Linked DNA regions of Cricetulus griseus. The protein of the gene in region 4 purifies or fractionates together with the protein of the main gene of each other region. This does not show direct contact. Links are inferred from orthologs where the notes say so. Each region holds a gene or a part of one and is shown on either strand. Other genes may lie near its edges. The genes, in order: Rnps1, Gsk3b, Hspa12a, Epb41l3, Pnn, Clns1a and 14-3-3 protein epsilon.

Evidence for each region.
Region 1: the proteins of Epb41l3 (region 4) and Rnps1 purify together in Homo sapiens (co-immunoprecipitation; 3 studies listed by BioGRID and IntAct, with this or other methods). This does not show direct contact. The link is inferred for Cricetulus griseus from reciprocal best matches to the Homo sapiens genes EPB41L3 and RNPS1.
Region 2: the proteins of Epb41l3 (region 4) and Gsk3b purify together in Homo sapiens (affinity purification with mass spectrometry; 4 studies listed by BioGRID and IntAct, with this or other methods). This does not show direct contact. The link is inferred for Cricetulus griseus from reciprocal best matches to the Homo sapiens genes EPB41L3 and GSK3B.
Region 3: the proteins of Epb41l3 (region 4) and Hspa12a purify together in Homo sapiens (affinity purification with mass spectrometry; 4 studies listed by BioGRID and IntAct, with this or other methods). This does not show direct contact. The link is inferred for Cricetulus griseus from reciprocal best matches to the Homo sapiens genes EPB41L3 and HSPA12A.
Region 5: the proteins of Epb41l3 (region 4) and Pnn purify together in Homo sapiens (co-immunoprecipitation; 3 studies listed by BioGRID and IntAct, with this or other methods). This does not show direct contact. The link is inferred for Cricetulus griseus from reciprocal best matches to the Homo sapiens genes EPB41L3 and PNN.
Region 6: the proteins of Epb41l3 (region 4) and Clns1a purify together in Homo sapiens (affinity purification with mass spectrometry; 3 studies listed by BioGRID and IntAct, with this or other methods). This does not show direct contact. The link is inferred for Cricetulus griseus from reciprocal best matches to the Homo sapiens genes EPB41L3 and CLNS1A.
Region 7: the proteins of Epb41l3 (region 4) and 14-3-3 protein epsilon purify together in Homo sapiens (affinity purification with mass spectrometry; 3 studies listed by BioGRID and IntAct, with this or other methods). This does not show direct contact. The link is inferred for Cricetulus griseus from reciprocal best matches to the Homo sapiens genes EPB41L3 and YWHAE.

The regions. Positions count from the first base shown.
Region 1 is NC_048600.1:43,953,870-43,958,185, reverse strand, and holds the start of Rnps1 (RNA-binding protein with serine-rich domain 1), read right to left. Parts: upstream 2,809-4,316; 5' UTR 2,658-2,808; coding exon of another isoform or gene 2,656-2,657; intron 2,347-2,655; exon of another isoform or gene 2,266-2,346; coding exon of another isoform or gene 2,222-2,265; intron 1,318-2,221; exon of another isoform or gene 1,116-1,317; intron 1-1,115. UniProt on the Homo sapiens protein: Part of pre- and post-splicing multiprotein mRNP complexes. Auxiliary component of the splicing-dependent multiprotein exon junction complex (EJC) deposited at splice junction on mRNAs.
Region 2 is NC_048597.1:52,008,188-52,012,755, forward strand, and holds the start of Gsk3b (glycogen synthase kinase-3 beta), read right to left. Parts: upstream 2,934-4,568; 5' UTR 2,412-2,933; coding exon 2,324-2,411; intron 1-2,323. UniProt on the Homo sapiens protein: Constitutively active protein kinase that acts as a negative regulator in the hormonal control of glucose homeostasis, Wnt signaling and regulation of transcription factors and microtubules, by phosphorylating and inactivating glycogen synthase (GYS1 or GYS2), EIF2B, CTNNB1/beta-catenin, APC, AXIN1, DPYSL2/CRMP2, JUN, NFATC1/NFATC, MAPT/TAU and MACF1.
Region 3 is NC_048596.1:2,559,649-2,563,487, reverse strand, and holds part of Hspa12a (heat shock 70 kDa protein 12A), read right to left. Parts: intron 3,301-3,839; coding exon 3,129-3,300; intron 1-3,128. UniProt on the Homo sapiens protein: Adapter protein for SORL1, but not SORT1. Delays SORL1 internalization and affects SORL1 subcellular localization.
Region 4 is NC_048595.1:457,934,437-457,938,937, reverse strand, and holds the start of Epb41l3 (band 4.1-like protein 3), read right to left. Parts: upstream 3,078-4,501; coding exon 2,886-3,077; intron 1-2,885. UniProt on the Homo sapiens protein: Tumor suppressor that inhibits cell proliferation and promotes apoptosis. Modulates the activity of protein arginine N-methyltransferases, including PRMT3 and PRMT5.
Region 5 is NC_048598.1:143,473,858-143,477,420, reverse strand, and holds part of Pnn (pinin), read left to right. Parts: intron 1-2,396; coding exon 2,397-2,552; intron 2,553-2,630; coding exon 2,631-2,769; intron 2,770-3,563. UniProt on the Homo sapiens protein: Transcriptional activator binding to the E-box 1 core sequence of the E-cadherin promoter gene; the core-binding sequence is 5'CAGGTG-3'. Capable of reversing CTBP1-mediated transcription repression.
Region 6 is NC_048596.1:101,796,684-101,801,103, forward strand, and holds the start of Clns1a (methylosome subunit pICln), read right to left. Parts: upstream 3,133-4,420; 5' UTR 3,043-3,132; coding exon 2,918-3,042; intron 1-2,917. UniProt on the Homo sapiens protein: Involved in both the assembly of spliceosomal snRNPs and the methylation of Sm proteins.
Region 7 is NC_048600.1:89,212,781-89,216,619, forward strand, and holds part of 14-3-3 protein epsilon, read left to right. Parts: coding exon 1-62; intron 63-2,748; coding exon 2,749-2,885; intron 2,886-3,839. UniProt on the Homo sapiens protein: Adapter protein implicated in the regulation of a large spectrum of both general and specialized signaling pathways. Binds to a large number of partners, usually by recognition of a phosphoserine or phosphothreonine motif.

The DNA.
Region 1 (4,316 bases), on a different chromosome or scaffold from region 4:
TCCTCAACTGTAACCACGAGAGAAAGAATACACCATCAGAGTTTGATTTCAGAGACAGGGCATTTTTAGATGCTGCTGAATAAATATTCTAGCCCCAAAGAGAAGAAGGAGTTCTTGGCTTTGAACAAATAAATGGAAGACAGCAAATGGTCACCTATATAGCTCCTTTCCAGGGCCATAACATCTTTTCAATCTGTTTGCCCTAAAACATACCATACACACCTACCAGGGAACATGAGCAATTCATGGTCTGGAGTAAGCAAGCATGCCTGTGTTTGATTTCATGCTTCACTATCTTCATCTTGGTCATGGCACTCATTCTAATTATTATTATTAATTTTTTTTGTTGTTTTTTTCCAGACAGGGTTTCCCTGTGGCTTTGGAGGCTGTCCTGGAACTAGCTCTAGTAGACCAGGCTGGTCTCAAACTCACAGAGATCCGCCTGCCTCTGACTCCCGATTAAAGGCGTGCGCCACCACCGCCCGGCTCATTCTAATAATTTTATTTACGGAGACAGACCCTCTCTATTGCATAGCTCTGGCAGTCTGGGAACTCACTCTATTGTCCAGGCTTGCCTTGATCTCAGAGATACTCTTGCTTCTGCTTCCGGAGTTCTGGGATTAAAGGTGTGAGCCACTAAATCTGGCTGGCACTCATTGTTATTCTTATTGTTTTTTTTTTGAGACAGATTCTCTTTATTATGTAGCTCTAACTGTTCTGGAACTCTCTAGGTAGATCAAGTTAACCCCTTGCCCGAGTACAAGGATTAAAAGGCTTATTTTATTAAAGATAAGGTCGCCAGCCCAAGCTGGCTTCAAATGTTCTATGCAGTAAAGTTTGACTGTTGCTTCTCTTGCCTCCACTGGGATTATAGGTTTTATATATGGGGCTGGAGACTGAAACCAGGGCTTCACGAAGGTAGGCAAAAGCATACTACTAACTGAACTACTCCTACAGCCTCACCTTTCCTGACAATTACTACTCAAAGGCCTTAGCTAAATCAGTCTGTGAATCTGATATGGCACCCAGCTAGCTCAGCATTAACTAGGTCCACACCCATTCTTTCCTCATTACACATGATTTCTGAATGCTTAATAAAGCCTCTAACAGCTCACCTTTAGGTCACATAGAACAACACTGTCCAGTAAGAGTGTGAGCCATGAACACAACCTCAAATTTCCTTGCAGCCACATCAAAACCGGTGGGAAAAAAAAAAAGTTTTGTTCTTGTAGTGCTGGAGAATAAAACTCAAGAGCCTGGTCCGGCAATGGTGTTGCACGCCTTTAATCCCAACACCTGGGAGGCCGAGGCAGGCGATCTCTGAGTTTGAGGCCAGCCTTGTCTACAGAGCTGGCTAGTTCCAGGACAGCCAGGGCTACAAAGAGAAACTATTGTTTAAAAAAAAAAAAAAGAAAAGGAAAAAAAAAAAAAAAAAAGAAAAGAGCAAAGAAAACAACCCCCCCTCATTTAACAAGGACTCTACTACTGACATAGACTAACAGTACAAAATTAATGATTTTTTTCTTTCTTTCTTGAGAGTGGTGGGATCATGGGTCCCAAACTTAGTTTTTAATAAGATAGTGTTACTTTTATAACATATAACCAATATTAAAATACTAAGTATTTGTGGTTTTTCCGTACTAAATTACTTAACATTTCAGTTTGGGTTGCTACCCAAGTGCTTCATAGCTATCAGTGGCAAAGAATAGCGATTTCGCTTGTGTACCCCACCCCAACCTGTAGGAATATACTTTATGAAACAACCAGAACCCGTTATTCTTAAGCAGTCCACAAATTATTAACTATAGAGTAAGCGAACACTCTGCTGGGTGTGGTCGAGTGCTAGAAGCAAAGGTGAGGGTCTCTGCTCACACAAGTTCAGGTAACAGCTCAGGACCTTGGTCACCTCCCCATCCTCCGGAAGTGTGCGTCCAACAGCCAGAGAGGAGAAAACAATTAGTTAAATCTAGAGCAGAGGCCGTTTCGTCAACCTTCAAGTCACTCTCTACATATAGAAGCACATTTGAGACGCCGTGCCTACGAAATAACACAAAGTAGAGAAAGAAAGCCTACCACCAAACCATAACCTTCCAATAGTCTCCCTTTGAGCTCGGGAACCGTGCTCAGCCCACCCTGAGCCGGATCCTCAAGGCCCAGAGCTAAGAACTACACGCAGGAGTTCGATAGACACTCGTGAAAAGAGATCTAAAAGAAAGCCAACCTTTTAGGCCGGTTCACAATCGGCACCGTCTGCTCCGGCCACATATATCGACCTCGCCTCCCACCCTTTCTCCACTCACAACTCAGGTAGGGCCTGGCGTGGCGAGCCTAGGTCTCCAGCTAGACAAAAAAAACAAGAGAAGAGGCGGCGCTCGCAGCAGCCGGGAGTCCCGCAAGCTACGCTGGGCGCCGCCAAGCTAACGATGCGGGATCGCCCTTCCGTCTGCGAGCGCCTCGACCACTTCCGGGCCGCGGCCTCGACACCTCCCACTCCGCCCGACCTGAACCACTCTTTCTCTTCGGGTTCTGCGCGTCGCCGGCAGACCTCTACCACACTGCGGGGCTGCGAAACGCAACCGGCTCCACGATGCTCCCCACCGAGCCCGGCAGAAGGTCCCCGAAGTTCGGATGCGGCCGGATTCCTTCCCAACTTACATCTTCCCGAGGCCGCCACCTCCTCCCGCTCTTCTCAGACCCGGAGGCCGGCGCAACTCTGTCGTCGTCAGAGTTGAGAAGCGGGAAGACACTGCGTCGTCGCGCAACGATGACGTAAAGCTCCTCAGCCAATGCACCCGAGCGGTGGAGACTTGAAGGCCGCGACTGTTTATAGGAAGAGCGTCCTGCCGGGACTCGTTTTGCGCAGCCTCGGAGCGCGCGGATGATTGGCTGACGGGGACTGGAGGGCTGCGTGTGTGCGGAAGGATATACTCTGGTTGTCTCTGTTACTGACTTTTTTTTTTTTTTTTTTTTTTTTTTTTTTTGAGACAGGGTTTCTCTGTGTAGCTTTGGAGCCTATCCTGGCTCTCCCTCTGGAGACCAGGCTGGCTTTGAACTCACAGAGATCCGCCTGCCTTGCCTCCCGAGTGCTGGGACTAAAGGCGTGCGCCACCACTGCCCGGCTCTTACCGACTCTTACTATTATTATTGACTCTCTTATTGAGTGCTAGGCCTACGGTATGGTTACGCGCCCTGCAGGGAGTGGTGCGCCTTACAGCCCAGGCGGCGGAGAGTCCAAGCAAAGCCGTGCTATTTATTCTAAAGGGACAGGCTGGTACCGACGGTGGGTTCCTGCCGCCAAAACTGCGTAGACGCGGGTAGGCCAGAAAGAAAGGAGTTTGAGGAAATGCCGAAGACATGCAGTAGGGGAGGCGTCTCCGAGGTGACATTTCTGAAAAGGATGCGCGGGGCGGAGGGAACAACAGGTGCAAAGGAAGGCGTCCAGGTTCGCTGGGAGAAGAAAAGGAACGCCAGTCTGGGTGAAGGTCATTGTCAGGACATAGAGGTCCAGGGCCTAGGCTACACAGTACCCGTGGTGCTGCAGTGCCCCGCCTCCCAACTTCGCTTGGCGTATTCCTTCCTCTGTGGTTCTTTGAGGAAGGAATGGATATGTACACAGTCCCTGCGGTTATCTAAACAGGTTTGAGACAGCAAGGAAGAGAGAGGAATTGATCTAAGGTTTAGGAGGAAGAAACAAAGGTGACTTGGTTTGGATTACATATCGCTGTGAAAAATAGGAGGCCAGTGTGCCCCTTGGTGACCCATGGAGAGATGGAGGGAGGAGATAAATTCAAGGAGCTGGGCACAGGGCAGGAAAAGGAGCCTGCCTCTGGAGTCTGCTCCCTTGAGCCACCAGTTCATTCTTGGGAGTGGGTTAGCAGATCTAGTCACTCTGACTTAACAATCACAAAAATTCTTCACAGGTGCGCCGGGAGGTGTGCCTCTTGGTTAATTCTAAATTCAGTCAGGGTGACAACCAAGATTAACGGTCTTAGAAGAGCAGTGTCCCAGGAGCTTCAACCTGTTCCTGTCTAAAAAGGGCTCTTGAGGCTCTGAGATGGAGTGGTGATGGTCAAGCAGGCAGCATGTGCAGTTCTCTGAAGATTTAGTGGAGTCTGTAATTAGAGAGGCTTCTGGAGCCCGCAAACTCAAGAACTGTGGGTTTAGAGCAGCACTGACACTCAGAAGCGGGAGGCAGCTAAGGGACCTCAGCGTGGCAGGTAGGGTGAGTCCAGAACAAGTTGGACTAACACCCTCTTCCCGCTTTTCCCCCTAATGTTCAAAGTAATTTAATTTGGTGTTCGTGTAAGCTTTAACAC
Region 2 (4,568 bases), on a different chromosome or scaffold from region 4:
ACTTTCCCCCAAGTCTCAGTGTCCACCCCCTTGTTTGCCTCTTTAGGCCCCTCTAATTGAGACATGCCAGCATGCTCTCTGCCTCCCATATAACATGCATACTCTGTGGCTGTGCGATCCTTCTACCTACAGGGCATGCTTCCCATCAGTTCACCTGTTTAGAACTCGCAGCCTCTGCAGAAATTTCCCTGCCCCGGCCCTTCCTTCTCACTACCCTTTCCCTTTGTCCCTCTGAACGACTGATTCAATCTGCATTTTAGAGTCTTGCAGTTATCATGCTATGGTCTTCACTATTTTCTGAATGTATGCCTTTACCATCCAGGGGTCTGGGGACAAGGACCATAATGTCTTATGTGCCAAAGAACACCAGCACCCTAACAAATGTCTGCCTCCTTCATCTACATGTCCTTAACTTCACAGTTATTTAAACACACACACACACACACACACACACACACACACACACACACACACACACCGCATTAAACTCTTTAAAATCAACATTAAAGTCTTTTTAATGTTGACTGATATGGTAATACAGAAATTAAAACACTTTAAACTACATTCCTTGGATTCATTCCATCCTAAAGAACCTCTATCAAGAATTAACAAGTTGTTTTCAAAGAAAATCCTGAAACAACATGAAAGTCCCCAGTTTTGGTATTTGATTCTGGCATTACAGATCTCTGAAATAAACGCAGTAAGTGGATTGCCTCAAACTGTGCGGCTTTTTTAACTAACCACACAAATACTGAAGTACCACAAAAGGCAGCTATCAAGAGGTCTGCTTCGTCACAACTGAAAATTACCCTAACATTTTTAAAACTTCCTTCCAAATGACTCCATAAAGTGCTTAGAAAGCACGACCCTTCCCTGAAAGATGCAAAATCAGCTTCCCCTTCACATGCCCTGCGTTCTAAACTAGCTAGTCACTGAAGGGAAAAAGTTTTTAACTTGCAAAAATATCTCCCATTCAGCTATCACTTTGGACTACCCTGTTCCGGGCAAGCTCCAAAAGCCTACACGAATGAAGTCTTGGGTGCAACCGAAAGGAATCGTTTCCGATTGCTTAATCCACTTCACAGAGCAGCACATACATTTTGACTTTCTAAAAATCTCGGTTCTCCAGTTATCTCAGTTCCTCTCAGCAACTAAGGATCTTTGTGTCCTCACTCTTCCTTCATAGAATAAGGAAAAGAAGTAATTATGCCAGAATCTTCAAGTATGTTCAAACAAGCTGTCATTAAATGCCACATAAACATCTCCACAAATAGATACATTTGAATACTGGATACTCAGTATATCAATCACTTCAACAACTGGACTTTTCAGCACAGATCCCTGGGCAAAAGACAGTGACAGATACTGATACATTTTAAATAATCCTAAGAGGATATCCACTTGTACTCTAAAAATTACCAAGTAATGAGAGCAATGGCACCTCAAAATTAAACTTAAATGACAATGAGTCAGTGACAATTAACACTTAACTTAGTATTTGGCCCAATGATACTACAACCTCAACCAAAAGTTAAATCTACTTCCAAGTTACCTTTTGATTAAACAAATTATACGGTGGCAGATTGGCGACGTCAAAACAGGAAGGTTAAGAGATAACACATTACACCACTTATCCAATTGAAGACAATGCACTTAGAGATGCAACTGCTGGGATTATTTATCTGGGGTACTTATCGGCTTCTACCAGCCCCTACTAGAGTGAGGGATGGATGCTAGCTTGCCTCCAACGTGAATGTGGGTTACCAAGCAAGTTCATTCCCAGATCAAGAAATACTTTGTATAGTCACACGGGCAAAAAAGAAATATTAGGAGCCTGGGACTCTTAATATCTCTATTTAGAATACAGAACCATGATAACCTGAGCTAGCTAAAATAACCTCCCTCGTTCCAGAAGACACATACTCGGCAAATATACATCATGGTTTATTAATCAAGTTTTGTCCTCTTTATTCAAAGGGATGGGCAAGTAGACGCTTCCGTCGCTTTTTTAATCTGGAGGCACTGGAGCACTTGAAGAGACTGACTACCAGCATCGAGAAGAGAGTAAGAAAACGAGTTTCGAATCCAACCAGCCAAATAAAACTAATATTCTCTCAATTCAAGGTTAATGAGGCTGGGGGAGGGGATACGGATAAGGGAGGAGAAAAGGGAGATGCTTCGTCTTGACTCAAGAAAGGTTTTGCCCTTTTCCATTACCCTCTGATTGTTCTATCAGGTCTCTCAGTTTAAGGTCCTGGCATTTCGAGGTTTCTTATCTTAATGGTGAGGTGGAGAAAGGGTGTAAAATAAAATCGATACTCACTGCTAACTTTCATGCTACCAAAAGCTGAAGGCTGCTGCACTGGCTTGCAGCTCTCTGCAAAGGAGGTGGTTCTCGGTCGCCCCGACATGATGGCTCTTCCTGAATCACCTTTTCCTTCCTTAATCCTTTTCTTCCTTTTGTTTTATATTAGGGTGCTAGGTTAATGATAAATGCAGCATTAAGTTCTCCCGCAAGAAAGAGAAAAGAAAAAAAAAGACTCCGTCCTCTTGGCTTTTCACTCCTTTTGTATAGCTATTTAAAAAAAAAATTGAGAGCGATGTGTTTCTCCTTCAAGACAGATCAGTACGGATATTTAACACATAGATGATTTAGGGCTGGGGGAAAAATACAATTCTTTCACCTCCCTTTCCTGGGAGGGGAGAAAAAGGGTGGAGTGGAATCCTTAAAAATATATATATATATATCACGTGAACGAGGGCAAATACTTGATTGAAAATAAGTACTCTGAGTATTATATTTTCCTCGGGGATTTTTTTCCGAGTCAATGAAGAAGGGAAGCGGCGGAAGGATCACGAGCCTCACGCTTGAAGAGAAGGGGGATGGGAAGGAGGGAGGAGATGGCTCGGAGATGCGACGGCTAACGCTGCGGCTCCGGCAGCAGCGGGATCCGGCGGTCTGACGGCGGCGGCGGCCGGGTGAACCGGAGGGCAGCGAAGTCGCGAGTCAGCGGCGGGCGGTGGTGGCGGCGGCGGCTCCTCTCCTCATTGCGCCAGGAGCAGCTGCAGGCGGTGGCTGGATCCAGCGGCCATGGCGGCGGCGGCGGAGGAGGCAGCTCCCTTCAGACCCCAGGCAGCGGCTCCTTGACTGCTCCCCATACGCCGGGGACATGGGAACCCGGCAACCGCTTCCGTCCCTCGGGGTCCCCTCCCCCGTCCGCGGCCCCGGCACGGCCGGCCTCCGCCCCTCGCTTGTGCTCAGCGGCTGCTCAGGAAGTGTCCGCGCTGTGCCCCGAGCCCGAAGCCCTGTCAGCGGCTGCAGGGCCGGCTCCTCCTCACTGCCTTCCTTCCTTTGTCACTCGGCCCAGGCGGCGGCGACGGCGGCGGCGGCACAAGCCCGCATTCGGCCGGGTCGGGGGCTGCTCTGTGCGAGGCGCGCCGTCTGCGCAGCCGCCTAGCCCTTCCCCACTCCCCCTCCCCCTTCCTACTCGTCCTCCGCCTCCTTCCTCCCCCACCCAGCCTTACACCGCCCAGCGCCCCGCCGCCCGCGTAACAGGCGTCTGGGAATCGCCCGCCGAGCCCGCGCCCGCCAGCTTCGGCTGGGAAGCCGAAACCCAAACCGGAACCAATCAAAGACGTCGTTTGCCTGCGGCTCCTTGACGGAAAAAGCCGAGCGGCCTGAATAACCAATGAGAAGACACCGCTGGGAGACCACGCCCCAGCAACGAGGGATGCCGAAGGTAGCCGAACAGAAGGAGAGTGGAATCGCCCTGTTCTGTGGCTGGCTGGAGAAGAGATTCGACAATAGCAACAGCGGCCAATCAGAGCTGCCCGCCCGCAGGGAAAAGCCTGAAGAGTTAAGGACAGCGAAACTCCGGAGTCGCGGGAGGAATTGCACAGCCGGGCGCCGTGCCCGTTTCCTCATTGGCTGGACAGCTCCACTGGGCGTGTACCTTTCTCAGTGATTGGTGAAGGGACGGGGGCTTCCGAGGACATCTGGCCAGTCAGAACTTCCCCTCCCTCTTCGAGGTGGGGAGAAGAAGAAAGCGGAGGGAGGGCGTCTATAAAGTGGCAGCTCATTGGTCTGTAGCGTCGAGCAGAAGCGCAGCGGGGAGGAGGGGTGCTCCGAAGGGAGAAGGAGGGTGCAGGAGCCCGTGGAGGTAGCCAATGGGTGCTTACTGCCGTGCAATCGCAAGACCTAGCTGCAGTGGGATTGGCCTCGGGTAGTCCCTGGAGCGGGCGGACGGGTTGACTGGCCGGCCCGCATCTGCTTTCCGACAGGACGCTCGTGCTGTCTGTGCAGCTGGTCTGAAAGTGCTGCGGTCGGCGGGCTGCACTCGGGCGCTCTAGCGGGGCGAGGGGCCGTCCCCATCCCCCGATGCTCGACGGGGCGCGGCCGACAGAGTGTTCCCTAGGCTCTCTGCGCGTGCTGAGCATCTGAAAACCTCTTTCCCCCGGAAGGCTTAGGGCCCCCGTGGCTGGGGTCGAACCCTCTGGCGCTCAAATGGGAACAAAGCTTCCAGAGAGGCAGCGCCTCTGTGCAGCCGCGCCCGCCCATAGCGGGGGGC
Region 3 (3,839 bases), on a different chromosome or scaffold from region 4:
GCCCACGGTGCACCAGGTTAAGCCGTTCCACATCGTGCAACTTTGGAATGCTGGGTCCATCAGAATCTCCCATAAAAGAATTTAGAGCCCGACCCTGCAGCTGTTGGAGACAATGTGCACTTCAGCCACAGGGGGGCGCTTCACCCACGAGGCAGCATCTGAGCCTAGGGGATCCCAGCGCTGCATCCAACAGCAGGGTACCCAGGGTACGCCTCCGCCTGTGTGCTGAGCGCTGCAACGCCTTGGGACAGACAGGGCACTCATAACCGTCCTTTGCTCAGCTGCGAAGGGTGAGGTCACGGCACTCGGAAGCTCCAGGTCTCTTGTCTGGGCAATATGAACCGTCAGACCAGAGACCCCCTCGACTTTTGAGATCTAATGATTCCTAGGCCTGGAAAAGCAGAGCAATGGGCCAAGAAAGGTATTGCGAAAAGGTACCTTGGAAGCAGCAGGCCTCAGCCAAGTGGGCCCTTTAGGCCTCGGTTTCCTCCTTTATAAAATGGGTGTGTCACTAGTTGGTCTGGGTTTCTCGTGGACAGAGAAGGACTGCTTCCCTAATGCAGCCTGCTTGTCCACTGTGTACCTGGAGTGACAGCCTGCACACGGTGGGTGAAACAAACAGGACACCCACTATGAGACCTGGTGGTCCCTGGATGGCAACTGCAACCAATGATTTACTAGAGCAGCCGTGGGGTGACAGAGAAAGGCTCTGCTGCCTCCTACCTCCCTCACTCCCCGACCTTTCTAGTCTTTAAACCCCTAAGCTACCCAACTCCTTCTGAAATGCCACTCAGCCCCTCCTGGATGCTCATCTAGCAGCACCCTTGACCTTCGCAAAACCAACTTCTCTAGAGATTAGACCAGCAAACGCCCCAGCTGACTCTGAGTTCTCTAGAGCCTGGGGTTAGAGTGGTCAAAGGGGCACCCCAGGAGGTCTCCCCAAACTTGGGCTTCTCTCCAATTCCCACGCTGGTCCGAGAGGAATCCCAGGCACTGCAGGGGCCAAACAAGAAACAAGCTGCCTCTCGGACCGTGTGAAAGGTTCAGGCATTATGCTGGCCTGCCCCTGTTACCTGGTGAAACAGGCAGTACCCTGGTCAGCCCAAGGTTCCAGGGAAATAAGTCTGCACGCAGGTGCAGAGGACCCCTTTAAAAGATAGGCCCCTGCCCATTTACGCTCTCTGTTTCTCTGTGCTCTCCGTTCCCGTTCTCTGTCCCGCTCTCTGTGCTACTCTGTCCCCCACCTATGCTCTCGCTCTGTCTCTCTATGGCGACAGGCCATGGCGGTCAGCCATTTACCCCTGTTCCTCTTCTTAGTCTCCCCATTCTGCCGGGCCTTATAATAAACTTATAGTCTTAAGTCTCACGTCTCAGCAATTTCTCTTTTCTTCTTTTTAAACAAAACAGTAACACCGTGTAGCAGGGATCGGATTTGCTGAAACGATTTAGATGGCCACAGATGGAATTCATAAGAGATATCTGAGTGAAGGCGACAAAACAACTTCCCAGTTCGCCAAGAACCATCCCAGTTTTTCAGGCAGATTAAGCCCAAGATTGGACAAATGTATGTTTTATGGATCCCATTAAAACCCATCAGGAGTAACAGAGTGTTCCCTGCAAACCAGGAGTGCTGGAGGCTGAGTGTCTGCCAGCTCCCTCCCTCTAGAGTAGCCTCAGTCCACTGCCTCTGATCACGAGGGACCCACGGGGCGTCAGATGTCCCCTGGGGTCCCTACGGCACCCCACCCCTGGGAGAGACAGCCCAACTACAATGCAAGGCTGACACCTACACCCCTGCTTTGCTGTCCCTCCAAGGCATGTTGGTCGCCAATGAGGCTCCAAAAACCAAAAGGAAAGGCTCCCCACTGTGAGCGCACACAGATAGCCACAGAATCCACAAGCCACAGAACAGTTAGGACAGAGCAGCCATGGGGAGACAGAGCAGATTAAAGGCTGGGAAACCTGAATCCGAACTCTGAGGAAGGATCTCATTTGAAGTCAGCAGGCACCTCCTGGAAACCGAGGGCCAGTCCATACTAAAAGCTGTGCTGAAATCAATAGACCCTGATATGAATCTCTGTTTACGAACTGAGAATTAGCTTGTAAGACCACAAGCTTCATCTTCCACCCAGTGAGACAATGGAGAGAGGCATGCCTTTGTGTCTTTGAGATGATAAAGCACCAGGTTCCTTAGAGGCAAGGCTGGCCTTGGCATCCCTTGGCAAGGCCAGGATGGCCATTAGTGAGGATAAGGACTAATATAGCCCTTGGGCCTAAAGGCAAGTCTCTGCATCCATTGTGGTAAAGAGGATCTAAGGTGCTGACACATAGTCCCTGGCAAGCAGAGACAGCAGCTTGGGGGACAAGCTTAGCTCTTGCCACCCCCTGGGAGCCACTTGAAACTAATGCAAGGGATTAAAAGGAAAAGGGTGTCTCCTGGGACAGAGTTGTCCTCGTGAGGACTCACAACTGAGGAGTGACCTGAGGAAAACTGCAGTACACAGGGATGGGAAGCGCATCTTCCCAGGGTTAGCCTGGGCCTGGGGTCTTGGCCAGGGCAGACTTGGGGTTCTGGTGTGGGGACTGTGGAAAATGCAGATCCTGTTAGGTCTCAAAACCAGGACAAATGGCCGACGTGCCTATTTAACCATCAAAAAGGACCAGGCCTCCAGGTTCTCCCAGCATCCCTCAGTCTCTACCTGTTACAGGGCCCATCCCTCCCACACACCCAGAGCAGCCCAGTGAGTAAGACAGCAACAAGTCAACAGTCTTGATGGAGGAGTTCATGGCAGGCAAAGTGGGTTAGACTGACTTGGAGAAAGACAAGACAAGCCTCGGTCCTTGTAAAGTAAAGTGCAAGGCTAAGAATGGCTCTCAGGTCACCCTTGGGGTGGAGATACCCCCACCCCAAGAAGTGACAAGCCAGGGTAACTGACGCTTATCTTATGGGGGAGTGCTCTTAGGGGCCAGGTAGGAACACAGAACGAGGAGGGGCTTAAGACCCCCGTCTTCCCCATGGAGTATCCTGACCCTTACAGCCTGAGGTGCCTGGAGCATCATTCAAGCTCAGTCACACCCAGGGGATTGGGGTGGGGAAGCGGAGGGAGGGAGAGAGAGAGCAGAGGTACCCTGTGTAAACCCCGCTCCTACTGAGTCACTGGTGCTGTACCCATTGGCCACCGTCTTGCTGCTCAGCTCAATCATCTGGTGCAGCCGCAGCTTCCGGCAGTAGATGGAGGCGGCCTCGGGCTCCAAGGCAATGATGAGCTGTTCTGAATTCTCAGGGGAGGCCAGGCCTGCCTGGAAGACAGAGAGACAGAGGCTGGGACCTGGGATTTCCTGGGCAGGCCTGCTCAGAGGACCACCACACCTTGCAGTGTGGGTGACACACCCAGGGGAGGAACTGAGCAATGAGCTTAGCTTGTTCGGGGTGGGGGTAGGGGGGACATTCCTTCCACAATCCTCTGCAGAATTTGATACCCGAGGTGACCAGACAGACATTGAGCTCTCAAATGTCTCTGAATTATCAAAGGACTCCTGGGAAATGCAGGGCACTCTGGCCCCTGGGGCTTGTTCAGATCAGAACTGAAAAGTGCCATGGGAGAGGCAAGGTGACCGTGGGTAATGATGAGGTTAGTGTGTAAGCAGCTGGGGGACAGGGTTGCAAAGACCCCAACACTTTGCAAAGCGTCACAGATAGAAGAGGGGTGATGCACCCCTGTGACAGTGGGTCACACGCCTCCTGGCAGGCTGTGCAGGTCCTGATCTTGGTGGCCCACAGCTAGGCAAGAGCTTGGAGCGCTCCTGCCATTCGCCTACTGGGTGTGACATGTGAGCAG
Region 4 (4,501 bases):
TAGCTGCTTAGGTTAAAATAACTAAATAAAAAAAATGATGGAATGGCCAATTTGAAAAGCCAAGGTAATTGAGAAAGTAAACTTCAACAAGTCAATAAACTAAAGAAAACTCATTTTGACAACTCAGTCCTACTATTTTGACTGTATTAAAGCATCAAAATGGTCAATGCAAGAAATCTATAAAACATCATTAATCTGGCCTTGACATAGTTTAGGGAGAAGTACAGTAATCCTGAAATTATGAGCCATGATATATCTTAATTAATACATTATAATTTATATATGATCCCAACATATTTAAATTGTCTCGTTACTGGAAAAGTCAACTGAAGCTACTTTTAACTTAAATTTTGCTGTGAATCACCGTTTTTCTATATACTGCAAGAGATGAGACTGTTTGCCCACCACTAAAAGTATCTGTATGAAAACAAACTTTCTGGCTTAGTTAAACATCAACTGCAAATGATGTCGTTAGGCAACCATCGTTCAAGGACAGATCTTTCTGGAACACATGAAACCGGTATCTACCACCGTGGCTTTTAGAAGCCACGTGTGGAAAAGCAGACCAAGTGTCTCAGGTGAACTGCCAATTAGAGTCATGTGATGCATGGCTGTCAATCATTTTAGCAAATATGTGGTGATCTCTTTCTTGCACAAATAAAGCCTGTCTGGGGGTCAGAGAATGGAGCTTGCCACTAGCTAACCATGGAGGCCTGGAGGTCTGTACAGACAGACAGGAAGTGATGCAGCTGGGCAGAAACAGGATATAACAGGGAGAAACAGGAACTCGCTCTCTTCTCTGCTGAGACACTTAGGAGGTGAGGTGTGCTGTGACTTGCTCCTTCTCTCTGATCTCTCAGCATTTCCCTCTATCTCTGACTCCGGCTTTTTATTATATAGACCAATTGAGAGCTCCATTTACACAAATCTTCCACTCCACGCAATCCTCCTCATTGCTCTGACGTGTAGGTACTACAAACCTCAGTTATAAATGAAGAGCCACAGGACCAGGGGGCTAGGAAACTTCCCAAAAGGTCATAAAATTAAAATCCAGCCACATTTTAATCATCATCCTATGACCAAATAGAAGACCTTCAGAGAGAATCGTTGTTGTTAACATTTTGTAAAGGTGAACGTGAGGACCAAAGGCCAGAAAGAGTCTTCCAAAGCAGACCAATGTTGCCGTGAGACAGGATTTACTCAGTTGTCTGTCCTGTGCAACCAGGCACATTTCCCTCTGCAGATTCAGTATCATATCCATTGTTGGTGTCAAACATTTGACTATGGAAGACAAAGTACAGTCATGGCCCATGTAACACCACACAGACCACATATATGACGGTGGCCTCTTAAGACATGAGGCTGGATTGGTTAGAAGGGCTTCGGGGAAAGTTGGGCAGGGAAGTTAGGGGCCAGAAGTGAATGATTCATTGCACATATGTATGAAATTCTCAAGAATAAAGAAAAATCTGTGTAAACACATAATTCAACTGCTTCGTGATACAGTTGCCATTGTGAAATTCAAAACACTACACAGCTCAGGTGTCTGTGATGGTCTGTATTATCAGACACACAAAAGTACAGCCGAGACACTTATGTATATAGCACATCATAGCTGATCATAATAAATTGTTATATTATTGGCTTGTGGGTTTACTATAATACACTTTTTAAACCATATTACAGTGTGGTGTTCCCGCTTATAAAAATGTTTACTACGGAACACAGTAAGCTGTTATGACAGCTGCAGTACACACCGCAGGTTTGCCAAGTCTCTTGACTGCATGGTTTCCTTCATTCTTTAAATTTATTTATTATACACACTTATTTATGTGCATGAGTGCTTTGCCTTCATGGATGTATATGCAGTACATGGGTGCCTGGTGCCTGCAGAAGTCAGGAAAAGGATTACCATCCCCTGGAACTGTTCCAGAGGGTGTGAGCAACGGCTTGCATTCTGGGAACCGAACCCAGGTGTTCTGCAAGAGCAGCCAGTGCTCTGAATCTGTCCAGCCCCATTCATGCTACCTAAAAACCGGAACTTGCAAATGTCATGTGACCACAGTAACATACCCCGCCTCATAAACAAGTGTTCAGGGTCGTAACGTGCTGTAATGGAGTTTTCTGCCCAAGGCTAACTTTATAACCATTCACTCAACATGTGCTAAAATTTCTGACTATGCAAACCCTTTGGAACACGAGGTCAGTCGCTCCTCTGGCTCCAGATCCCTTTATCATGCACAAGAAAGCCGTCTAAAGCACCAGGGTTTGAAGTTTCCAGACTATACTGGCTCATCTGGTCATCATCGTACTTTATTCTTTTGATTTTATCTACATATTTATACTTATTGATCTTTATTTTCTTGATAGTAGTGGGGATGGAACCAAACCTCCATAGGCTAAATAGGTAGCTCCACTGCTGTGTTCCAACTCACAAAGGGCAGAAGTAATCGCTTCCCACATCCCCGAACATGCATAAGGAACAGCAATGACCCTACAAATGTATACCAGGGGAGGAGTTCCGCCACAAATAAAGAGTCGCTGAAAGTATATGACCATGCTTGGGTCAGAATAATGGCTGGGAAAAACAGCGAGAGGCATAGTGGGGCTGCCAGCTGTTGTCTGCCCTTATGGTAAACTCAGATCTAGGCAGAATCGTCTGTCAGTAGTTCAGCTGAGTGTTAACAGCTTTAATCAAAGGCAGGAGGTACCAGTCAAGGCTGTGGGGTGCCCCTGACTGAAAGCCTTCAACAGTGACACCACTGACCCTTTGGGTGAGAGGGCAAAAGCAGGTGACCTTCAGAGTTGCACTTAGGGCTGGGAGGAAGCAGCACAGCTCAGCCAGGTCCCCTGACTGACCCTCCCCAGCGATGTTCCAGGCTCACCTCCCTCTTCACCGGGGTGCTATGTGCAGCAGCTGCAGGGAACTGCTCTAGCGCTGGCGGGTCCTCACTGCTTCCGCTGGCAGGCTCTGGTCCAGGCTGTGCCCCTGGCTGTCCCTGAGGCCCTGCTGCCTCCTGGGGCTCAGCCTCCTGGTCTGGCTTGGATTCTGAGTCTGATCCTGATTCGGTCGTCATGGTTGATTGTTCTGCAAGCAGAAAGAGAGGCAAGGACCTGTCAGTAGCTGTGATTATCTTCCAGGAGATCTAGTATGAAAGGGAGGAGGAGGGAGAGGGGCGCCCCGGCCAAGCACAGTCCTACACTGCACACCAGAGAGGCGCTGTGTAGAGAATGGTGCTCACAGTGCTCACAGTGGCTCAAAGCAGACGTGTAACACAGTGAGGTCATCTGAGAGTAGGAACCTCACTTAAGACAATGTCTTCATAACACTAGGCTACAGGCAAGTCTGAAGGGTATATTCTGAATTGGTATATTCTGAATTAGTGACTGATGGAGGAGGGTATGGCCCATTGTGGGTGGGGCCATCCCTGGGCTGCTGGTCCTGGGTTCTGTAAGAAAGCAGGCTGAGCAAGCCATGAGGAGCAAGCCAATAAGTGGCTCCCCTCCATGCCCTGTGCACCAGCTCCTGCCTCCAGGTTCCTGCCTTGTTTGAGTTCCTGTCCTGACTTCCTTCAGTGATGAACAGTGATGTGGAAATGTAAGCCAAAGAAACCCTTTCACCCCCAACCTGCTTTTGGTCATGGTGTTTCATAGCAATTAAAACCCTAAGTGGGACAAACACACACTAGAGATTAATCTGTCATAATCAACAGGGTTTCTTCATAATAGATGGTGGCCACAAGTGAAATTTTAAAATCATTGCTAATTAGGGTAGCGGATGAGGAGTATGTGTTTGCTGAGTATGTATATTCTAAGACCTGTGAAGGATGACTTTCAAGATTAGATATCCCACAGGCTTCTCAACTCTGCACCAAGGACTCTCCCACCCCCAAATCTACGGATTTTTCTAGCAATAGCAAATGTCTTTCTTACTGGTTTTCACCCAGTTCTGCTATTTCCTTTTGAACTGAAATATACAAATGCAGCAAGCGTCACACCGTCAGCATCTGTCCTGTGATTGAAGGGCAGCTTGTATCTCCCCTCCCTCCCACATCTTTCCTGGCTCCCTCCTGCCTGTGAACACTGAAGGATACCTCAGTCTCACATCTCACAAGAAATTCAAGCAAAGACCTTCCTGAGTAATAGGCTGCCCCACCCTAAAAATACCACCCAAAACTACCACCTTCTAACAGAGTGCTAAAGCAGACCAGCATTTTGTGCCTCAGTTTCCACGGGGGCCATATGAGAAGGCTGAACATGTTCAAACCCAAATAATAATTCCTCAGTCACTTTTGCCTCTCGCTCGCAGAAATGCTCCGTGTCTTTAATAAAACCCATTCTTTCTGTGTGTAGTAGGAGAGATGCTATGCCAAGCAGACTTGACTTTTAAGTGCTTTGCATAGGGATGGTAAATATCCCACAGATAATACATCTTTTACCATTCCCTTTCACAGTTCTAATTACCTGATTAAAAAATATTCAGAGCCAAGGGCTAGTGTAA
Region 5 (3,563 bases), on a different chromosome or scaffold from region 4:
GGCTTTGAAGGCTGTCCTGGAACTAGCTCTTGTAGACCAGACTGGTCACGAACTCACAAGAGATCCAACTGCCTCTGCCTCCCGAGTGCTGGGATTTAAAGGCGTTCGCCACCAATGCCCGGCTGAACATTCTCTTTACTTTTGTGATAAGGACTTTTGCTAAGCTAAGGCTAAGCTGGTATTCACTATGTAGCTAAGAATGGCCTTGAAGTCTTGATGTTCCTACTTCTACCTTAGAGGCCCTGGGATTTATCTGTTTACTTATGTGTTTACTCATTTATTTGTTTGGTAGGTTACCTGCCCACCTTTGAATTTTTGAGATGGGAGTCTCACTGTATAGCTCTGTTTGGTTAAACCTAACTATGTAAACCAGTCCAGTCTTGGCTTCAACAAGATCTGTCTGCTTCTATGTCCTGAGTGCTTGTGTTAAAGATGTGAGCCACCATTCCTGGCTTTTTAATAGGCTTTTGCCTTTATTTTATATGTATGGATTTTGCCTTTATATATGTGTGTGTACAGTGCCTGTGGAGGCAAGAAGAGGGTGTTGGGTTCTAGGGCTGGAGTCATAGAGTTGTGAGCTGTCCTGTGGGTGTTTGGAATCAAACACAGGTCCTCTTGGAAGAACATCTGGAGATTGTTTTTTGTTTTGTTTTGTTTTTTAAGTTCTGAGTCATTTTGACCAAAGAAAGTGTTGTTTTAGAGATAGTGTCTTAATGTAGTTCAGGCTGGTCTATACTCTTAAGATTTTTTGTTATGTTTATTTTATTGTGTATGTGGGTACAAGTATTCTATGTTGTCTTGTGAAGATGATAGGAAAACTTTGATGTGGACCCAGAGGATTGAAGTCCAGTTGTCAGCAAGTACCTTTATCAGATAGTCCATCTCACCTGGCCATGACCTCTTAATCCACCTGTATCAGTGCTGTGCTGGAATTATGGGCCTGTAACATTTTACCCAGCCTTAAAGCTTTTTAAAGATTCCTATTAAGAGCCTGTCTCAGAAATTCTTGTCCTAGAAGAGTGGTTCAGTTGTCAGAGTCCTTGCCTAGGACAGTTAAGGTTTAGGCTCAATTCCCAGTACAACCCTGGCCCTCTCACCACCACCCCTAAAGGGGGGGGGACTTCTTTAAAGACAGTAATACAAAGTAAAATCTAAGGAAACACTTTGAACCTTCAGAAATTGTTGAATTTTCAATTGGCCTTTTTCTATCCTTTTTAAATGTTCTTTGTATTGTTATAAAGAACCTGAATCTATAAATATTGAGGACTACATGGGTTCTAAGCTATAACGGTCTTGTTGTGATACCCACTTATTGTGATACACTTGGGTATCAAGTTTTCTTGGGGGGGGTTAATTACATTTATGTGGTAGGGCCATGTATATTGAGTGAAATCACATAACAATTTTTGGAGTTGATTATATTTCCCTCTGAGATGTGGGTTTTAGGGATTGAACTCAAGTTGTCAAGCTTTGAGGGCATTCACCTTTATCTGTTGAGCCATCTTAGTGGCTCTAGGTCTCAGATTCTTCTTCAAACAAGGAGTTTTGGGTTTTGCAACTAATCCAAGTATTTGGTTCTGTTTTGTCTTTTTGGACTGGGGTCTCATGTAATCCAGGCTGGCTTTGAACTACCTATAGAGCTGAGAATGACCTTGAGCAATTGGCTTCCTGCCTCCCACACCTACATTCTGGAATTACAGTCCTTAAGTCACCAGGACCAGCTCAAGGGTTGTAATTGAGTCTTACTATACACTCAAAGGCAGTTCTTGCCAATGGGGTTAATTGTGTATGTATATATATATCCCCAGCATGTGCTCTGGGAATGGAACTCAATTGCGCAGGTCTGGCACCAAGTGAGCCATATTGCAAATCTGGGTTAAGTTATATTAAAGAAACATTTATGATGCAATGGAATGGTTAATCTGTGACTAGTGACTTTTTATGGGAAAAGGCCTTAATCACTATTGCCTGACATTGTCATTTGCAATCAGTCCTAAGGATTAAATTATAATTACTTATATCTTGGGGCTGGAGAGATGCCTTAAGGTTAAGAACAGTGACTGCTCTTCCAGAGGACCTGAGTTCATTTCCCAGCAACCATATAGTGGCTCAAAACCATCTATAATGACATCTGGTGCCCTCTTCTGGTGTTTGGCATATATGCAGACAGAACACGGTATACATAATAAATAAATCTTTAAGAAAAAAAGAATAGCTCAATTTATTTAAAAAAATTACTAATATCTGAAAATGTAATGCAGATAAAAGTGCAAGTAAATTAATGTAGTAAAATTGTAAGTTTCAGGTAGTCAAGATATGTAGTATTTTTATTGTATTTGAAATAAAACTAAAACCTTGATTATTTTATGTACTAAATCAAGATTACTTATTTTTAGCAAAAGAGACGTCAAGAAATTGAACAAAAACTTGAAGTTCAGGCTGAAGAGGAGAGAAAGCAGGTTGAAAATGAGAGGAGAGAACTGTTTGAGGAGAGACGTGCTAAGCAGACAGAACTGCGACTTCTGGAACAGAAAGTTGAGCTTGCACAGCTGGTGAGCAATGTTTTTTAAGTACTAAATTAGATGGTCCTTCATGTTTACAAAGCACTGACCTTTTTACCTTTTCTTTAGCAAGAAGAATGGAATGAGCATAATGCCAAGATAATTAAGTATATAAGAACTAAGACAAAGCCCCATTTGTTCTATATTCCTGGAAGAATGTGTCCAGCTACCCAAAAGCTAATAGAAGAGTCACAGAGAAAAATGAATGGTAAGTCATGATGCCCATTTAGTAGAAATGATTTAATAGTTCAGTTTGGGGGGCTGGAGAGATGGCTCAGAGGTTAAGAACACTCACTGACTGCTCTTCCAGGGCTCCTAAGTTCAAATCCCAGCAACCACATGGTAGTTCACAACCATCTGTAGTGAGGTCTGGTGCCCTCTCTGGCCTACAGGCATACATGCAGACAGAACACTGCATACATAATAAATAAATAATTAAATCTTAAAAAAAAAAAGAATAGTTCAGTTTGGGGTTTTTATGGTATACTGAAATGGGTGGTGGGGTTAGGGTTTAGGAGTATTTTCTGCATATTGAGTTTAATCTCAGCCAGGTGGTGGTTCGTGCATGCCTTTAATCCAGTACTTGGGAGGCAGAGGCAGGAGGATCTCTGCAAATTCGAGGCCAGCCTGGTCTACAGAGCAAGTTCTAAGATGCACAAGAATGCTAAGGAAATAAGGCAGAATAAACATGAATTTATATCGGGTATTTACATGGAAGGTTAGACACCACTAGGTGGGTAATTGGCACTTTGTTGTGCCTGAGACCAGGAAAGGTAAAATGGTAGTTCTGCTTCAAGGAGATTTTGATTGTCTTCTAGCAAGAAGTTCAATAGCAAAGATGTCCAGGTTTGCAGGAGTATAATTCCTTGATCTATAGGTGTCCTGTCAGTGTGATTTTAATGTCAGTTTGTAATACATTTACCGTAACCGGTATTTTGTCATCTTTTTTGGAAAACATTTAGGGACTGGTAGTTTAGTTCATCTGTAGAGTGCTTGTCTAGC
Region 6 (4,420 bases), on a different chromosome or scaffold from region 4:
CTGAAAGGAAACAGGGAACAACTACTAAAATGAGCATTGGGTTTTTTGTTTGTTTGTTTGTTTGGGGGGCTACAACAAAATGTTCTAAGACTGAGTGAAGATAAAAGTGCATAATAAAAACCATTAACTTCTATGAATGAAATGAATAAGTTGTATGGCATGGAAACCATGTCAATAATGCTACTTTAAAAGGGAATATCCTAATAAAAGTCATTTTTTATACAACTACTGTATACTAATTAAAACTTAAAACAGAAATTAAAGGAATAGGGACATACCTCTGCAGAACATATGCATATCCTGTACCCTCTCCAATTTCTTCCTCCTTATTCTCTTCCTCCCTCCCTCCCCATTCCTCCAGCTTTGACATTTAGCTCATGTTAGCTTGTTGCCCAGGTTGGCCATGATCCTTTTCCCCTCTTGGAGACAAGGTCTCTAAATAGGCTTGACTCTCAGAACTCACTGAGATCTGCCTGCCTTTGCCTCCAGTGCTGGGATTAAAGACCTGCTCCACCCTGCCCAGCCATAATCACAAACTCTAGACTCTCCTCTTGCTCTTCCTGACTCCACATGGCAAGTGCTGGAATTACAAGCCTGTGCCCCCATACTCAGCCTCACCCTACTTTCCATACAGTTCTGACAAGCTGACCATGGATCACAGGTATAATACAAGCGCTCTGGAGACTGCTATAGGACAACTGCTGTTAAGTTCAAGGCTAACCTGAGCCACATAATGAATGCCAGGCCAGTCTAGGCTACACAGAATCCAGGTCTCAAAATAACTAGGTAGTGAGTGACAAATACCTTTAATCCCAGCACTAGGAAGGCAGAAGCAGGCAGATCTCTGTGAGTTCGAGGCCAGCCTGGTCTACAGAGCAAGTGAGTTCCAGGACAGCTAGGGCTGTTACACAAAGAAACCCTATCTCAGGGGGAAAAAATAGTTTGAGGAATTATTTCGTCCCTACTGCTTGTAACGGAACAGATTTCTTATGTAACTGACTGTGTGCTGCACATATCCTCCCTTCCCACACACAGCTCTTCTCTAATGTGGGAATGAAACAGTGCTCATGGGTACTGAGAATAGACCTAGCAAACTATGTTTCCTTTCTCACCTCCAAAATCTCTTGACATGACCACAATTTAGAATGGAACATTCAGATTTACCCATCCAAAATAATTTCAAATATTCAGAGCCACAAAACCTTTATTAACTCCACCGGGCAGTGGAAAAGTTAGCATCTAAATCAAATCAGTGTCTAGCAAATTATGGCCTTTGGTTTAGAGGCTGAAATCATTATCTAGCCCCTAAGAATGACAGCATTTTGTCTCTGCACAGTGCTCCTCTGAGAGGCTCATGAAGAATGGATGTGGCACTTGCAAGCAATACTTATTTGACTTAAGTTCTAACCCTGCTTTGTCTCTTGTCACAGATTCTAGAAGTACTCCAAAACCAAGATATACAATTAACTATGACCAGTCATAAAAAACAAAACAAAATGTCATAAATGCAAATACAAGAACTAAAAGAGTAGTAAACACCAGTTGAAAAATGTTTTGTTAAACTCTGACACTTATGAATAAGGACAAGCAGTATCTTTTAATTCTGGTGAAGAGTTGAAAACAGTACAGAAAAGTAAGAGACCCTGACCTTAATTGGTTTAAAATTAATTTTGGAATGACATGCAAAGAGGCATTGTTTCTAAGCTCAAAAGTAACTTTTTTGTTTGTTTTTCGAGATAGGGTTTCTCTGTGCAGCTTTGGAGGCTGTCCTGGCACTCTCTCCGAAGACCAGGCTGCCCTTGAACTCACAGAGATCTGCCTTTGCCTCCCTAGTGCCGGGATTAAAGGCATGCAGCACCAGCACCCATTGGAAAATCCACTTCTAATCTGGATCTTGAGGCAGAAAGACTTTAATACTGATCTTGAAATGGGATTCCAGCATCCACTGAAGATCTGCTGAGAGACCCAGCCTCTTGGACTGAGCAACTTCTGGATTCTTGAAATTTCCATTCATTGGCAGCCATTGTTGGATTAGCTGGACCATACCCTGTAAGTCATTCTAATACCTTCTCTCTCTGTCTCTCTCTCTCTCTCTCTCTCTCTCTCTCTCTCTCTCTCTCTCTCTCTCGGCCCCTGTGGTGACAATCAGCTGATGGTGAAATAAGGGGACTAGCCTGGATTTTCTAGTCAGGCCCAATATTATAACACGAGCTTTTAAAAGCAGAGGATGTACTCCGTGGAGGACAAATGAAATATAGCAGAAGGTAAATCAGACACTCTGAAGGACAGGAAGGGGGGAGGAGAGAGAGAGGAGAGAGAGAGAGAGAGGAGAGAGAGAGAGAGAGAGAGAGAGAGAGAGAGAGAGAGAGAGAGAGAGTGTGTGTTCCAGTGACGTGTCTACCTTATTGTGAAAGTACAAAGCGCTGTAGTCAAACAACAGTAAGATTCCTTCCAGGACCGGAGTCAGGGCCGGCTGGTTATGACCCCGCCCTGCGTGGGCCTGAAGATGCTCTTTTTCCCCACCCACACCTTGAGCAGAAAAATCCATGCTCATTAACCAAAGGTCCCAAACCCTTCACAATCTACACTGAACTCACATATCTTACGCAGGTAAAAACAGGTAGCTCACACGATTATTAAGAAAGCCAGGCACATCGAGAACTAACATAGGCTCTGCAGACTCAAAACTCTAAACGTGACCACGCGCCAGGCTCCAGAAGACAGGCCGGTAAAAAGCACAAGTCGTTAAGGAGAAACACCGTCTAGAGAACAGAGCCAGGTGGGATCGGGAGAGGGGAGCCCTCTCAACCACCATACTCGTAGCGTCGCTCCCCGCTCCCCGCAGCAGCCCCGAGGTCGTGCCTAAGGGAGGAAGGAGCCCCCGAAGGAGGCCAGCGCCGGAGCCCGGGGACCCTACCTCTCCGCAATGTAAAGGGTCCCGGAGCCGAGACCCTTCCCGTTCAGCACAGCCTCGGTGTCTGGCTGCTGCAGCCGGAGCCCGTCTTCCGACGTAGGCGGCGGGAAGCTTTTGAGGAAGCTCATTGCGGGTGAATTCTTAGCTCCCTCCGCACGATCCTAGACGCGGAGCACCACAACCCCAGGCCACATGAGCAGGCCCGGAAGCAGTAGCGCTATCCCGGAAGAACAACTTCCTCCCCGCTGGGTTCGGCGAGCCGTTGACCATAGAGATGGGACGGTCTAGACGCCGGAGGTCCGTGAGGACCCGGCTGGCTTTTGTCACGTGATATGGGTCTTTCCACCCACCCCCACTCGCGGCCCCGCCCGCCCCGCCAGCCCCGCCCCACCCCGCCCGCCCCGCCCCGCCCCTCTGAGGAGGCTTAGAATAACAGTGTTTTTCGCTGTGGTTCTATTTGTAGGTCGTCACAGCAATCCCTGAGAGAGTATGTTTAAGGAATACTGTGCCTTCCAAAACAAAACCCGGAACGGGCCTAGGAGGACGCACGGGAAATAGAGTCCACACTCATCTGGAGGTCAGAAGTCCCCCGGTTGGATGCGCGGTTCTTCCTGCTCCCGCCTCATCGGGCCTGATCTCACCGGTTCACACAGCCATTCACCAGACCTCCGTCTTAGGCCTCATAGCGCCCCATCCCCACGTGCCACGCCACAGCAGCGCAAAGAGGTTACATTACCTGAACGAAAGGGCGGCGAGACAGTCCAAAGACAGCGCCGAGGGGAAAGGCAGCCATTGATCGGGAACTTCTAGGCCCCAAAGAAAGAGCAGTGAAGACTTAGTAAATAGACACCCGTAGCCGACGGCTATGTGCCACACAGCGTAAGCACTTTACCACTCTCATTTCTTCATGGATTCTTGTTGTTTGTTGTTTTTATCCACATGCACCCTACTCTGGCTACAAGTACTGTTACAGGCAAGCATCACCACATCTGCTTAATTCATATTTTTTTCTTTATGATAAATAATAAGAACAAGTTTTCTATTAACTGACTCCGTTTTACACATGAGAGCTGAGGCATTAAACTCACAAGCTAGAGTTTAGAAATGAGAGACCCAGAGGATGGAATTCAGTCAGCCAATCTCTAGGCTTCATTTTTTTTTTTTTTTTAACTATAAAATTGTCACAGCAGCCGGGTGAGCGGTGATGGTGCATGCCTTTAACCCCAGCATTTGGGAGGCAGAGGCTGGTGGATCTCATTGAGTTTTAGGCCAGCCTTGTCTACAAAATGAGTTCTAGGACTGCCAGCACTGTTACACAGAGAAACCCTGTCTTGAAAAACCATTTTAAAAAAGTTGTAATAGCTATGGGTTTAGGGCTGTTTAGGTTGGATGACAAAACATATAGATTGTCTTAAGAGTTTTGTTTTTCTTTTTTTTTTCCCCTGTTTTTTCTTCTTGGTATCTTTTCAACAGAGGAGTCTTTAGTGTGGAGATGTTTTCTTAAGA
Region 7 (3,839 bases), on a different chromosome or scaffold from region 4:
CTTGCTCTCAACTTTTCCGTATTCTACTATGAAATTCTTAATTCCCCTGACCGTGCCTGCAGGTAAGTTATGGAAGAACCAAGTTCCTAGTGTGGAGTGCAGAGGTTCTAGAGGAGCTACCTTCTGTTTTCTTGTAGGTTGTCACAGGGTTCTGTTGACTTAATTTGTATGTATTAGTCTTCATTTAGTCTTTGAGTTACTTATGACAGGGTTTTGGTAGCAGGTATCTTGCCTAGCTTATCTTTGAATGTTCAGTTCTCATGTCTCATTCTCCCAATTGTTAGGTATCATAGACATTTACCACCCCACTTCTCTGGGAATGCATTTAATACTCTTGGTGAACTTTTTTGTTGTGGTTGTATTTTGAGACAGTTTTCCTATGTAGCCTTGGTTGTCCTAGAACTTGATCTGTAGACCAGGCTGTCCTGGAACCTAAAGAGATTAACCTGCCTCTGCCTCTCAAGTGCTGGGATAAAAGGCGAGTGCCACCACCTCCTGACAAGAACTTTTTTTTTTTTTTTTTTTTTTTTAATTTTCTGCTGGGCATTGATGGTGCACGCCTCTAATCCCAACACTCAGGAGGCAGAGGAAGGTGGATCTCTGTGAGTACGAGGCCAGCCTGGTCTACAGAACGAGTTCCAGGACAACTTCCAAAGCTATACAGAGACACCCTGACTCGAAAAACAAAACAAAAAAACAAACAAAAATTCTGTTTAATACGAACAACTATATTATCAGTCTCAGTGGTGTTTATGAAACTGTTGCCACACGAAAATTTCTGCACTTTTTTTGGGGGTGTGTGTGTATGTGGGTCCATAGCATGGCAGATGAAAGTCTGAACAACTTACAATTAGGGACATCACATAGTTGTGAGCAAATTTCGGGTGCTGGAAATTGAACTTGGATCCCATGGAAGGGCAGTAAATGTACTTAACTGTTGAGATTTGTTTAAATGCAAATTAAGGATTGTTGTACTGGTAAACATGTATACTACAAAGAATTCATTGTAACCATTTTCATGTGTGTACTTGAGAGGAGTTTAATATGCTCACAATTTTTTATGACCTTTAGTACTAGCCATTTCATCACTTTCACCACTTGACCCAAACTAAGCTTTAGTAACTCCACTCCCCAGTCTCTTCTAACCTGAATTTGTTTGTTCTTGGCATCTTATATAAGTAGAATTGTATCTGTCCCTTTCTGTCTACTCTATTAATTTCTTGGTAACAGTATCTGTAGATCTTCTATCCTGGGGCAGTGACTTATGCCTGTAATCCCAGTCTTCAAGAGACTGAGGCAGGAGGATGGGTGCAGTTGAAGCCAGCCTAGGTTACAGTGTGAAACCCTGTCTCAATCTTCCTCTTCCAAAAGCTGGGTGTGAAGGTCCATCCCTGTGATTCCAGTGCTCTGAAGGTGGAGGCAGGACAACTAGGCATTCAAAGTCAGCTAGGGCTATAGGAGACACTGAATAAAACAAAACAATTTTTTTTCCTCTTCTTTTCCTTTAGGAGAGGGTAGTTGGGTTCTGAATTGTATCCATTGTAGGTATGTGCCACAATTGTGTCTTATCCAAAGACACTTGAACCTTTTTGGATTTTCTAGGCAGGGTTTCTCTGTGTAGCTTTGGCTGTCCTTAGAACTCAATCAGTACAGACAAAGCTGGCCTAGAACTCAAAGAGATCCTACTACCTCTGCCTTCCGAACGCTGGGATTAAAGGCTTGTGCCACCACTGCCTGGCAGGAAAATATCTTTGTCACAAATGTATTTTGGTGGAGGTTGGACTATATAGATTATTTTCAGTCTAGCCTATTTGTAATAGTTCATGTAATTAAAAATTAGTGCCTTGGGGCTAGAGAAATGGCTCAGTGTTAAAGAATATGTTCTTTTAGGGTACCTGAGTTTATTTCCAGCACCTGCATGAAGCAGCTCACAGATGCCTATGACTCCAGCTCCAGGGGATCTGTTGCTTCCAGCCTCATCTCTGACACCTGTTCTCTTGTACATATAAATACAAATACATATTATCAAAAATAGTAAATCTTGGCTGGGTGGTGGTGGTGCACACCTTTAATCCCAGCGTGAGGAGGCAGAGACAAGTGGATTTCTTGTGAGTTCGAGGCCAGCCTGATTTGTAGAGTGAGTTCCAGGACAGCCAGGGCAACACAGAGAAACCCTCTCTGGAAAAACTAACCTTTTTTTTTTTTTCTTAGCTGAGTGAGGTGGTCCATGCTTGTAATCATACCACCTAAAAGACTGAGGCAATTTATGTAGTTGCTTTGAGATAGTCTCACTGTGTCACTCCAGATGGCATGGAACTAGATCTTGTCTCCATGTACTGTTTGTTAGCTCTCTTTGCTAGGCTTGAAATTTCAAGGGTTTGTATAGGAAGATGTTTAAAATGCAACACGAGCATCTCTAGTGATGCCCAACTAGGTAGGGATGCTTGTTATCAAGCCTGATTAGCCTGAGTTCAGTCCTTGGGATCTATGTGATGGAGGGAGAGGCAGCTGTGACAGGTTGTCATCTGACCTTCAGGTGCATCCATACAAAATTCTACAAATACATCTTTAAAAAGTTTTTTTTTTTAATTAAAAGCAGGCTGAACAAAAATACAGTCTTACATGTTTTTATTCAAAGTTATCTTTCAGCATTTGTCTCTGTTACCTTTATAGCACTGGAGAACCGAGAAATAGCCCATTGTTCCTATCTTTATTGTTAATTGAATGCTGACGATGCATTTATTTCAGGTTGGCAAAAGCAGCTTTTGATGACGCAATTGCAGAACTGGACACGCTGAGTGAAGAAAGCTATAAGGACTCTACACTTATCATGCAGCTGCTACGTGATAACCTGACGCTCTGGACCTCAGACATGCAGGGTGATGGTGAGCAAGCTCAGATGTTTCTCTTTGGTGGTTGCCTCTTCTAAGAACTCTTGGTGTTTCTTAATCTTTGTGTAATTTTCAGTCATAGCCTGTCTGCAGTAGTTGAAGTTCATTCCTTCTGTAGGGAATGATGCCCAATTGTCATTTTGGCCCTTGATAGAAAGTAAAAGGCCTATTTGACAATTTCATTCCTGTGTAGAAATATAATGCAAATATTTAAAACTGTAAAAGTTTTGCCTTTAATAATGGGGTTTTTTTAGTACTCGTACTGCTTTAGTCGTTGTAGGGACAAAATGACAGGAAACCATTTCTTTTTTACTTTATTTTTTTTTTAAACTTACATTGTTTTGTCTTATGTGTTTTGACTATTTTTCCTACGTGTGTCTGTGTACTGCATGAATGTCCTCAGAGGCCAGAAGAAGGCAATGATGAATCTCCTAGAATAGGAGTTAACAGATGGTTTGTAAGCAGCCTCCATGTGGGTGCTGGGAATTGATCTTGGGTGCTTTAGAAGAGTAGGCAGTGCTCTTAACTACTGAGATCTCTCTCTATCCCCCATCATTCCTTTTACCTTTCCGAAATTCAACTGGGGGGGGTAGCAAAGGTTGTTTATGAAACTATCTGGTGTTAGTAGGCATTAATGAAATATCTCTTGTGTGTGGGGTCTCCAAACCTCAGACCTGTGTGTGCCAGGTACCTATTTCACCTCTTACTGTACCCTGGTCCCTGTGTAGAAATCTTTTTCTCTAAAAAGCGACTATTTTCCTCTAGGGTTCTACGAGAAATAAAATGATCTTCCTTAGGTCCATGCTTAAGAGTTCTGGTATTGTCTGGTCTTAGATTTTTATTTGCAAAATTACTGTTTTGGGGGAAGTAATTGCTGTTTGTGGGAATGCATGTATAAATTTTAACTTCAAATAGAAAAGTTGAAGTTTGTTGAATTTGTTGATTTTG